Arabidopsis thaliana: one gene and its partner. The protein of the gene in region 1 binds, or shares a complex with, the protein of each later gene. Each region holds a gene or a part of one and is shown in the gene's direction. Other genes may lie near its edges.

Region 1 (4,078 bases):
CAATCTTCAATCCGGAAATTGATTGACAAGGAGTTGGAGATGTCTACATTGAAGTGGATTTCAATTTTCGAAAATGGTAAAGGATCACATTGCACTTTGAATAAAGTTATACAACGTTAAAAGAAGATAAAGATATGAACACATTTTATATCAAAGGCCTTAATAAGTATATTTGGGCCTATTAAATCGAACCTTTAAACAGAAAAACTGGCCCATAAAATAACCGTGGTTGTGTTATAACAAGCCGGTTAAGTACAAACCGGAAGCGACTCGTGTTTGTTTAGTGAAGCGATCAAGCGAGCGAGATCAGTCAAATAGCTTTTTCATTGTTCCTCAGATCGAAGAAGAAGAAGAAGAGCTTAGCAACAATGGTAAATCTAGATCCGTCCAAGTGCTTTCAGTCACAGCTAATTTGATCTCTCTATTTGTTGCTTTTACGATTTCTGATTTTGTTTGGTGTGTTTGTGCTCGTTCCCGGTGAGAAGGCGGCGAAACCGATTGCGAGTCCGATTCCGGTGGCGCTGTATCCGACTTTATCGGTGTTCACTCTTGCGATTGGTCTCGTCATTACCGCTATCTTCTTCATGTAAGCTAATAATTGATCTGATCTCTAGATCTTCGAAATTGCCCCTTCTTGTTCTCAATTTATATTACTTGATGTCAGATTAGTGAAACAGTTCCTGATAGATTCGATCTACCTATGATTTATCTTGATTTTCATAAAGCTTGATTAGTGTGTGATAGTCATGACTAGGTTCTGAACTATGAATCGTGTGAGGCTCTCCTCTTGTTTGTTCACTGTGTATGAAGCTTGACCAACATTGTTACTGCTTATATATATGGTTTGGTCACAATGCTTTCTCAATTGCTATTCTCTAGAGATAGGTCTTCTAAAGCTCCTGAAGCTACATGTTCATCACTTTCATGATCTCTTTGCTAGATTAATCTGTTGAAATATGTGCCTTTCTTATTACTAAAGTTTCTGGGTAAAAAGTAAGAAAGTCATGGGACTCATCTAGTAACCTTTTGGAAATGTGTGAGCTCTATATACTATCATGATATAAAGACTCAAAATTTATCAATGATAAGGTGATAGTCTATGGAAATGGAATCAGTACTCTAATAGTTTCACTGAATATGACAAAATGACTGATTATCGATTTAGTTAAGATACAAGAAAGTTAGATTTGTATGATTTTCATTTAAGCGTGGAGCATTTACCTTTCAAAGGGTGGCAAGTTTTAGGAGATATGATTCGGTTTGTTAAAGTAATGTGCGTCTGGGCTACGAGAGCATGTGGGTTAGCCTCGAGTCAAAACTTTAAGATAGACTTGAACCATTCATTTTAGCTTCTTTGTAATAAGGTCATATTGGACTCTTTTGGTATTCATTGTGCTGGTTTAGATTCATTCAGCCCAACAAGGAGTGATCAAAACTTACCCTGTCATAACATTTGTGTTGCAGCTATGAAGCTACATCATCCAGGAAAAACCGAAGCGTCGGAAAGGAGCTCGCTACTTCAGCAGTTGCATCTGTCTTCTTGGTATGGATTTTCTTCTTCACCCTCTTGACTTAAGTTTAAGAGTTTTCTTTAAATCTAATGTTTGGTTAAAATCTGTTTCTGTGTTATTTGCAGGGTTTTGGATCGTTGTTTTTGCTACTTGCTAGTGGTGTTTATGTCTGATCCTTCTTCCTCAATACTATTCCCAACTAGTTCAAAGACAAAAAAAACAGATTTATCTTTGTTCAAGTAAAATCAGAGTTATGAATGTTAAGACTTGAGAAGTAGCCTTTAAACACCAAGTTACAATTAAATTATCTTCTTCTTTTGAACGCTAAACCGAGTTTTGGTTTCAATTTTCACCGCCTTTAGAACAGCGTTTGCGTTGTTAAGTTGATCAGTTAGTAACTTTCTACCAAGATTTAGAAGAAAGCTTTACTCAAATTTTGTAATGGGAAGATACTGATTATACTCTTTAGTGTGAAGAAATCATTTTAATTCGCTAATTTAAGTATTTGCCTATTGGGTATTTGCCGGGACGAAGTTTACTCCACGTGGCATAAATAATAATATTATAAAAAAAACAAAGGAGAGTAGAGAGAAAACGAGAGAAAAGAAGGAAATGGAAAGCGAAGCAGCAGCGACTGTTCAAGCCACCAGGCCGAGAAGAGCACCTAGGACTCCGGTGACAGCCATTTTGACGGATAAGAGAAGACGGAAACCTAAGAGCAACAACGAGTCTCAGTTACCATTTTTGCTACAGCAGAGTCAAAAGGCCACCGTTGACGACACTTACTCTCAGTGGAAGACTCTTCTTCCCATTCTCTATGATTCGTTTGTTAATCATACCCTCGTCTGGCCCTCTCTCTCTTGCAGGTCTGTGTTTTTTTTTATAGGTTTTCTGTTTCTAGGGTTTTCGATCTTTGGTTTTGGAGAAAGTTGGTTCTTTTTTGGGAAATAAAAATTCTAGCTTTGTGCTTTTGGTCAGGCGATTGAGTTACATTTCCGTTTCAGCTAGTGAAATACTCATAGATTGAGAGTTTTTCTTAGCTGGTTTCTGGAATTTGTGAGATTAGGACATGTTCTAGTTCGGGTTTTTAATTTAGCTCAGTCTCCATGCTTTTCTGTGTTTCTTTCTCTTTTAGGCTTTTAGCTCATTAGCTATCTGATGTTTCCATTTTTGAACCTCTGGAACTTGTTTTGGTAGGAAAATGATGTCGTTGATAACACTTGACCAACTCGGTTTAGGTGTTCTGTTTTGTTACTTTTTGGTTTCAGATGTTTAGCTGTGCTACGATTTAGTGAAGTGTTTAGCTTTTGTGTAAAGAGGTACGATTTCGTTGTAATCCTGTTGTTTGATTTGAGCAGATGGGGGCCACAGCTTGAGCAAGCAGGTTCTAAGACTCAACGTCTCTATCTCTCGGAACAAGTGAGTTTGCTCTTGTTCTTGTGGTTTGTACATTTTTTCTTGATGAAAAATATCCAAAGTTTGTTTACTGCTCCTTATGTTTACCGTTTTTTCTTGGTTCTGTCATTAGACGAATGGCAGTGTGCCTAATACTTTGGTCATAGCCAATTGCGAAACTGTTAATAGGCAGGTAATTAGTTTTTCTCTACCAAAGCTTGTGCTTTTGTCCTTGTGTTACTCTCTGCTGAGATGAAATTATTGAAATACCGTTTCTTTATATGCTTTCAGCTTAATGAAAAGGCACACTCTCCATTTGTGAAGAAGTACAAGACCATCATCCACCCTGGAGAGGTGTGATATTCCTGTATTCTCATTGTTTTTTCTTAGATGGATTTACTGAATCTGCATTTCGTTTAGGACTTGAGTGCTGAAAAAGATTTTGTTTTGTGTACCCTTCATTCATCGCAGGTCAACAGAATTAGGGAACTCCCTCAAAATAGCAAGATTGTAGCTACTCACACCGACAGTCCTGATGTAAGTTCTGCTTTCTCGGGTCATCAGCGTGACAAAAAAAAGGCTTTCGTTATTCAGTATCCTTGTTTTTGAATAGTTCCAGTTTCAGTCATGCAAGTATGATATATTGGTTTTCAGATTCTCATTTGGAACACTGAGACTCAACCAGACCGGTATGCTGTGCTTGGAGCTCCAGATTCTCGTCCAGATTTGGTATGCTCTTGTGAGAATTTTCGTTATGTTGTCTCACTGAGTTAAACAACCTGCTTGTGCATCATATTAACAATCGAAAGAGCTACTCTTTTTGCATCATTTGAACAACTTTTATTTTCAGTTACTAATTGGGCACCAGGATGATGCTGAATTTGCTCTTGCAATGTGCCCAACCGAACCTTTTGTTCTCTCTGGAGGTTTGTATCAGTTCTATTTTTGTGTCATATCTTGTGGTTTGCAAGTTTCTCATCAAAGATTCTTCCGTGCAGGCAAGGACAAGTCCGTTATTTTGTGGAATATCCAAGACCATATCACAATGGCTGGTTCGGATTCCAAATCCCCTGGATCCAGCTTCAAGCAGACTGGTGAAGGTAGTGATAAAACTGGTGGTCCTTCTGTTGGCCCTCGAGGCATATATAATGGCCACAAAGATACTGTTGAAG
Region 2 (4,078 bases), on another chromosome or scaffold:
GAACTATCAAAACCTTAAATCTTTCTAAGAAATTTCCATTATATTAGAGGATGAAAAAAAGACAACATGAATGAAACAACAATTTATATACTCGATCTAAAGAAAATAATAGCATAAATTAAAATTTTCAGAAAAAAACAAGAGGGAACATTGGTGTGAATAAGTGTAGTTATTGTGCTAAATTAAATTATGTTGGTCTATAAAGTATTGGTTAATATATATCAAAACATCAGAATGCTATAACGTCTAGATTAACTTGAGCTTTAGCAATTCGCATGAAGAAATAAAATTTGATGGTTAATTTTTGATCCAAAAATCATCTGATTACTAAAAATAATAAAGAAGAATAATCGGACCGACAAGGATATTATTCGTGGACGACAAAAAGTTTGGCAAGGGAGTGAGTTCACTACAGTAAGACGGCATATGTATTTAAGGATTACCAAACTTTTTGCTTTAGCCAAGGAAGCTTTTTCTCAAGAGCCAAGAGGCACACTTGTAAAAATATATAATCAAATATATGTATATATCAAACTAAATCAATACATATCAAATGTTGTCCTTGCATATACACAAGTAATTTCACATATGTGATAGTGATAGTGGTAGAGATCATCATCTTAGTTGAGACTTAATTAAATATGAACAATCAAGTTCGCTATTGCATCTATATATGTTTTTGCCTTTATTTCTAATCATGTAGATTAAGATCATTTTTATGATATGCGTATAAATATTGTAGAAAAGATTAAGGTGCACAATCTAGATTTGGATAGATAGAAAAAGTAGAGGCATTGGTTTAGCTATCATATGTTCTCATCACATCAAGAGACTTGGATCTTAATTAATCAATGTTTCCATATTTACTGATAAATAAAAAAGTTATAAAGTAGACAAACCGTTGATATAATTTTTCACGTCCAAAGAGAGTACGTAGATCACCTCATGACCAGGTTGCTTTATAGTGTTTAGATTGTATAGCATTCATATTCTGACTGAATCTCTAGAACATATGCTCAAATCATTTCGTTTGGAGTTTTGACCCATCCTCAAATCATATTATATATGCATTCTATGCAAGTACAAATATGAACCATTACATTTTGTTGAATTAGGTTGCATGTCTTTTTAGTTTTGCCCACATGTTTTTCGTGTGAGAATTGTGAATTCCCCATGTGAATCATAAATGAAAAGATAACATGGTGGGTCGTTCACAACTTACAATTCGGAATTATTTTAAACGTGTCTGAATTCCCTTGGCACTGTAATGATCCGTCTGTTACGTTGCCTTGGGCCTTGGGCTTTGGAGATGGACTAATATTTACACAAGTTGGGTTCAAGGTCATTGAGCTTTCTTTCAAACTATGATTAAGTAGTGGGAAATATATGATTCATATATCACTATTACTTGGTATTACAGTTCTAATACAGATTATACAGTTGATTCATATTGGTTCGCCGTCGATACTACATATAATCATGTCATGAGAACGTGTTGTTCGTGTAAAATTAACACAACAAGAAAATTACGTTTAGATGTATCAAATGTTATCCTAACAGATTTCACATGTTATATAGTCTCAACGAAAAAAATTAAAACATTTAAACTGGGTCAAAAGATGTATTTAAGCGATTTTCTTATATGGTGTAACATAAGTTGACCAAAAAGATTGAATATGAATTAGTGTGAAGATTGATTCAATGACTAAATCTAGTTTAATCATAAAATCTAAACATTTATCTTTTTTTAATAAAACTCAAACCGATAAATAATTTTGTTTTAGTAACAAATTAGATTTTATAAGTAAATTAATTTTTTTATTATTATTAAATGTCAAATTTTAATTGAATAAAATAAAAAAAGTGAATATAAGGGTTCAACTCAAATATTTTTCAATTCAATATATATAACCAAGATTTTCGTTACCACTCCACTTAAGTAATGCAGTGAATGAAAAAGAAAAAATAATCAGTGTCTAAAATCAAAATACCGTTGGTCAGTTGAATAATGAAAAAGAAAAGATCTTTGATTTTCCTTTTACTTGGTAGATTCCTACTCTTTAGGATTGAGGTTTTAATAAAAGACTTTAATCAACAAGCACTAAATTTAAGATACTGGTGTTGTGTAATAATAAGTTTGGGCCGAGCAAAAAAAGAAAAGGACTGGGCCGAGAAACGGCAAATATTTGTGTCGTTTCAAATACCAAATTCAAAATCTCCATTCTTTTATTACTCTGCTTATTAGCCGTCTAAGCATATTACAGCTGTCAATCATCGAAAGCATGTGACGCGTCTCTCTTATTTCATCCCACTCGCGTTCATATACACGTGTTATCTACTCTCTATCCGATTTCCGCCACGTAAGAATCTAGACACTGATGTTCTTATACACATAGCGAGTAAGCTGTATTTTACACTCTCGTAGCTAGTCAGTTTATTGTGATAGCGACACGGCTGATTTAGGGAAATAAATTAAAAACGTTGTCTTATTCCTGGGGCAAAAAAAAGCAGATAAGTAAGCAAAAAAAAAAACTCATTAATTACGAAAGTACCCTTAAATTTCTCCGAAAGGAAATTTTTGCGCCGCGTTTCATCTTCTCTCAAATCAAAATCCAGAGAGAAAAAAAAGAGAGGATTTTTCTCATGAGATTCTGAGAGTGTCTTTGTTCTTCTTACAAAGAAGTGTTTTTTCTTGAAGATTCTTCGGTCGCTGTTCGAAAAGTTGTTGTTTCGTTTCTCTCGGAGCTCAAAATCAGGTAAAAAATTTGTTACTTTATATTTTCGTTTTTCTAGGTTTTTCGTAAGAGTTAACCTAATTTCAAAATTTGTTTTTTTGGGAGATATTGTTGGGTTTGTGTGTAAATAGTTAGGTTGATTTTTTTTTCTGATTTGTTTGTCGTTTTGTGATTTTTTTTTTCTACAGTCGGGAAGAAAAATGGAAATTGAAGTTGTTTTGGGAATCGGAGAAGATGCGGGACCTAAGCCTTGTTCTGCAGAGATTGAATCAGCTGAGAAAACCCTAAAAGATGATGGTGTTGTTCAAGAGAACGGTGTTAGGGTTTCCGACAACGGTGAGAAAAAGTCTGATGTTGTTGTTGATGTTGACGAGAAAAATGAGAAGAATTTGAACGAATCTGGAGTTATTGAAGATTGTGTTATGAATGGAGTTTCTTCCTTGCTCAAATTGAAGGAAGATGTGGAAGAAGAAGAAGAAGAAGAAGAAGAAGAAGAAGAGGAAGAAGAAGATGGCGAAGATGAAGAAGAAGAAGAAGAAGAAGAAGAAGAAGAAGAAGAAGAAGAGCATGGATACTGTGTAGGAGATTTTGTGTGGGGAAAAATTAAGAATCATCCATGGTGGCCAGGTCAGATTTATGATCCATCAGATGCTTCAGATTTGGCTTTGAAGATAAAGCAAAAAGGGAAATTGCTTGTGGCGTGTTTCGGAGACGGGACATTTGCTTGGTGCGGTGCGTCGCAGTTGAAACCGTTTGCAGAGAGTTTCAAAGAGTGTTCGAAAGTGAGTAATTCGCGGAGTTTTCTAGGTGCAGTGGAAGAGGCGGTTGAAGAAATTGGTAGACATATTGAGCGTGTATTGGTATGTGATTGTGCTGAGGAGAAGAAGCATGAGTTTGATAGTCCTTTAGTTAACAATGCTGGGATTAAAGAAGGTGTTTTGGTGCGTGATGTGAGACGGGAAATGATTTCGTCGTTGTTGATTGGTAAACATGGAGAGATTCTTAAAGATGTTAAGAGTTTTGCAGAGACTGTTAGTTTTAGTGGCTTGCTTGAGCTGGAGATATTGAAAAGGAAGGTATCTGCGTTTTATCGGTCTAATAGAGGATATGGTTTGACTGAGTATCATGAACCTCAATCAGTTCCAGGACTTGAAGACAAGAACAATGATGATGATGATGATGATGAAGAAAAGAATGTTAATGATGGGTTACAATGGCGTGCTAAACGGTCTAGAGTAGAAGAAGTAGCAGCTTTGGATCATGAAGAGTCGTCGTCTCTTCAGAGATCGTTAGAGAAGTGTTCTGGTTTTCCTGATCATAGGCTTCCCCACAGAAGGAAGGAG

The links.
Region 2: NFC5 (region 1) and AT5G40340 share a complex: the UniProt entries of both Arabidopsis thaliana proteins name them as parts of the PRC2 (polycomb repressive complex 2) complex.

Annotation. Positions count from the first base shown.
Region 1 is NC_003075.7:14,560,568-14,564,645, reverse strand, and holds the start of NFC5 (nucleosome/chromatin assembly factor group C5), read left to right. Parts: upstream 1-2,044; 5' UTR 2,045-2,123; coding exon 2,124-2,377; intron 2,378-2,869; coding exon 2,870-2,930; intron 2,931-3,039; coding exon 3,040-3,099; intron 3,100-3,197; coding exon 3,198-3,260; intron 3,261-3,377; coding exon 3,378-3,443; intron 3,444-3,560; coding exon 3,561-3,635; intron 3,636-3,756; coding exon 3,757-3,832; intron 3,833-3,904; coding exon 3,905-4,078. Other genes in the region: AT4G29735 (uncharacterized protein), read left to right, coding at 369-371, 486-586, 1,208-1,273, 1,465-1,543, 1,637-1,684. UniProt on the Arabidopsis thaliana protein: Core histone-binding subunit that may target chromatin assembly factors, chromatin remodeling factors and histone deacetylases to their histone substrates in a manner that is regulated by nucleosomal DNA.
Region 2 is NC_003076.8:16,133,538-16,137,615, reverse strand, and holds the start of AT5G40340 (Tudor/PWWP/MBT superfamily protein), read left to right. Parts: upstream 1-2,222; 5' UTR 2,223-2,756; intron 2,757-2,923; 5' UTR 2,924-2,935; coding exon 2,936-4,078. UniProt on the Arabidopsis thaliana protein: Together with PDP1, PDP2 and PDP6, interacts with MSI4/FVE and MSI5 to suppress FLC, MAF4 and MAF5 expression by regulating the function of the PRC2 complex and modulating H3K27me3 level, thereby promoting flowering.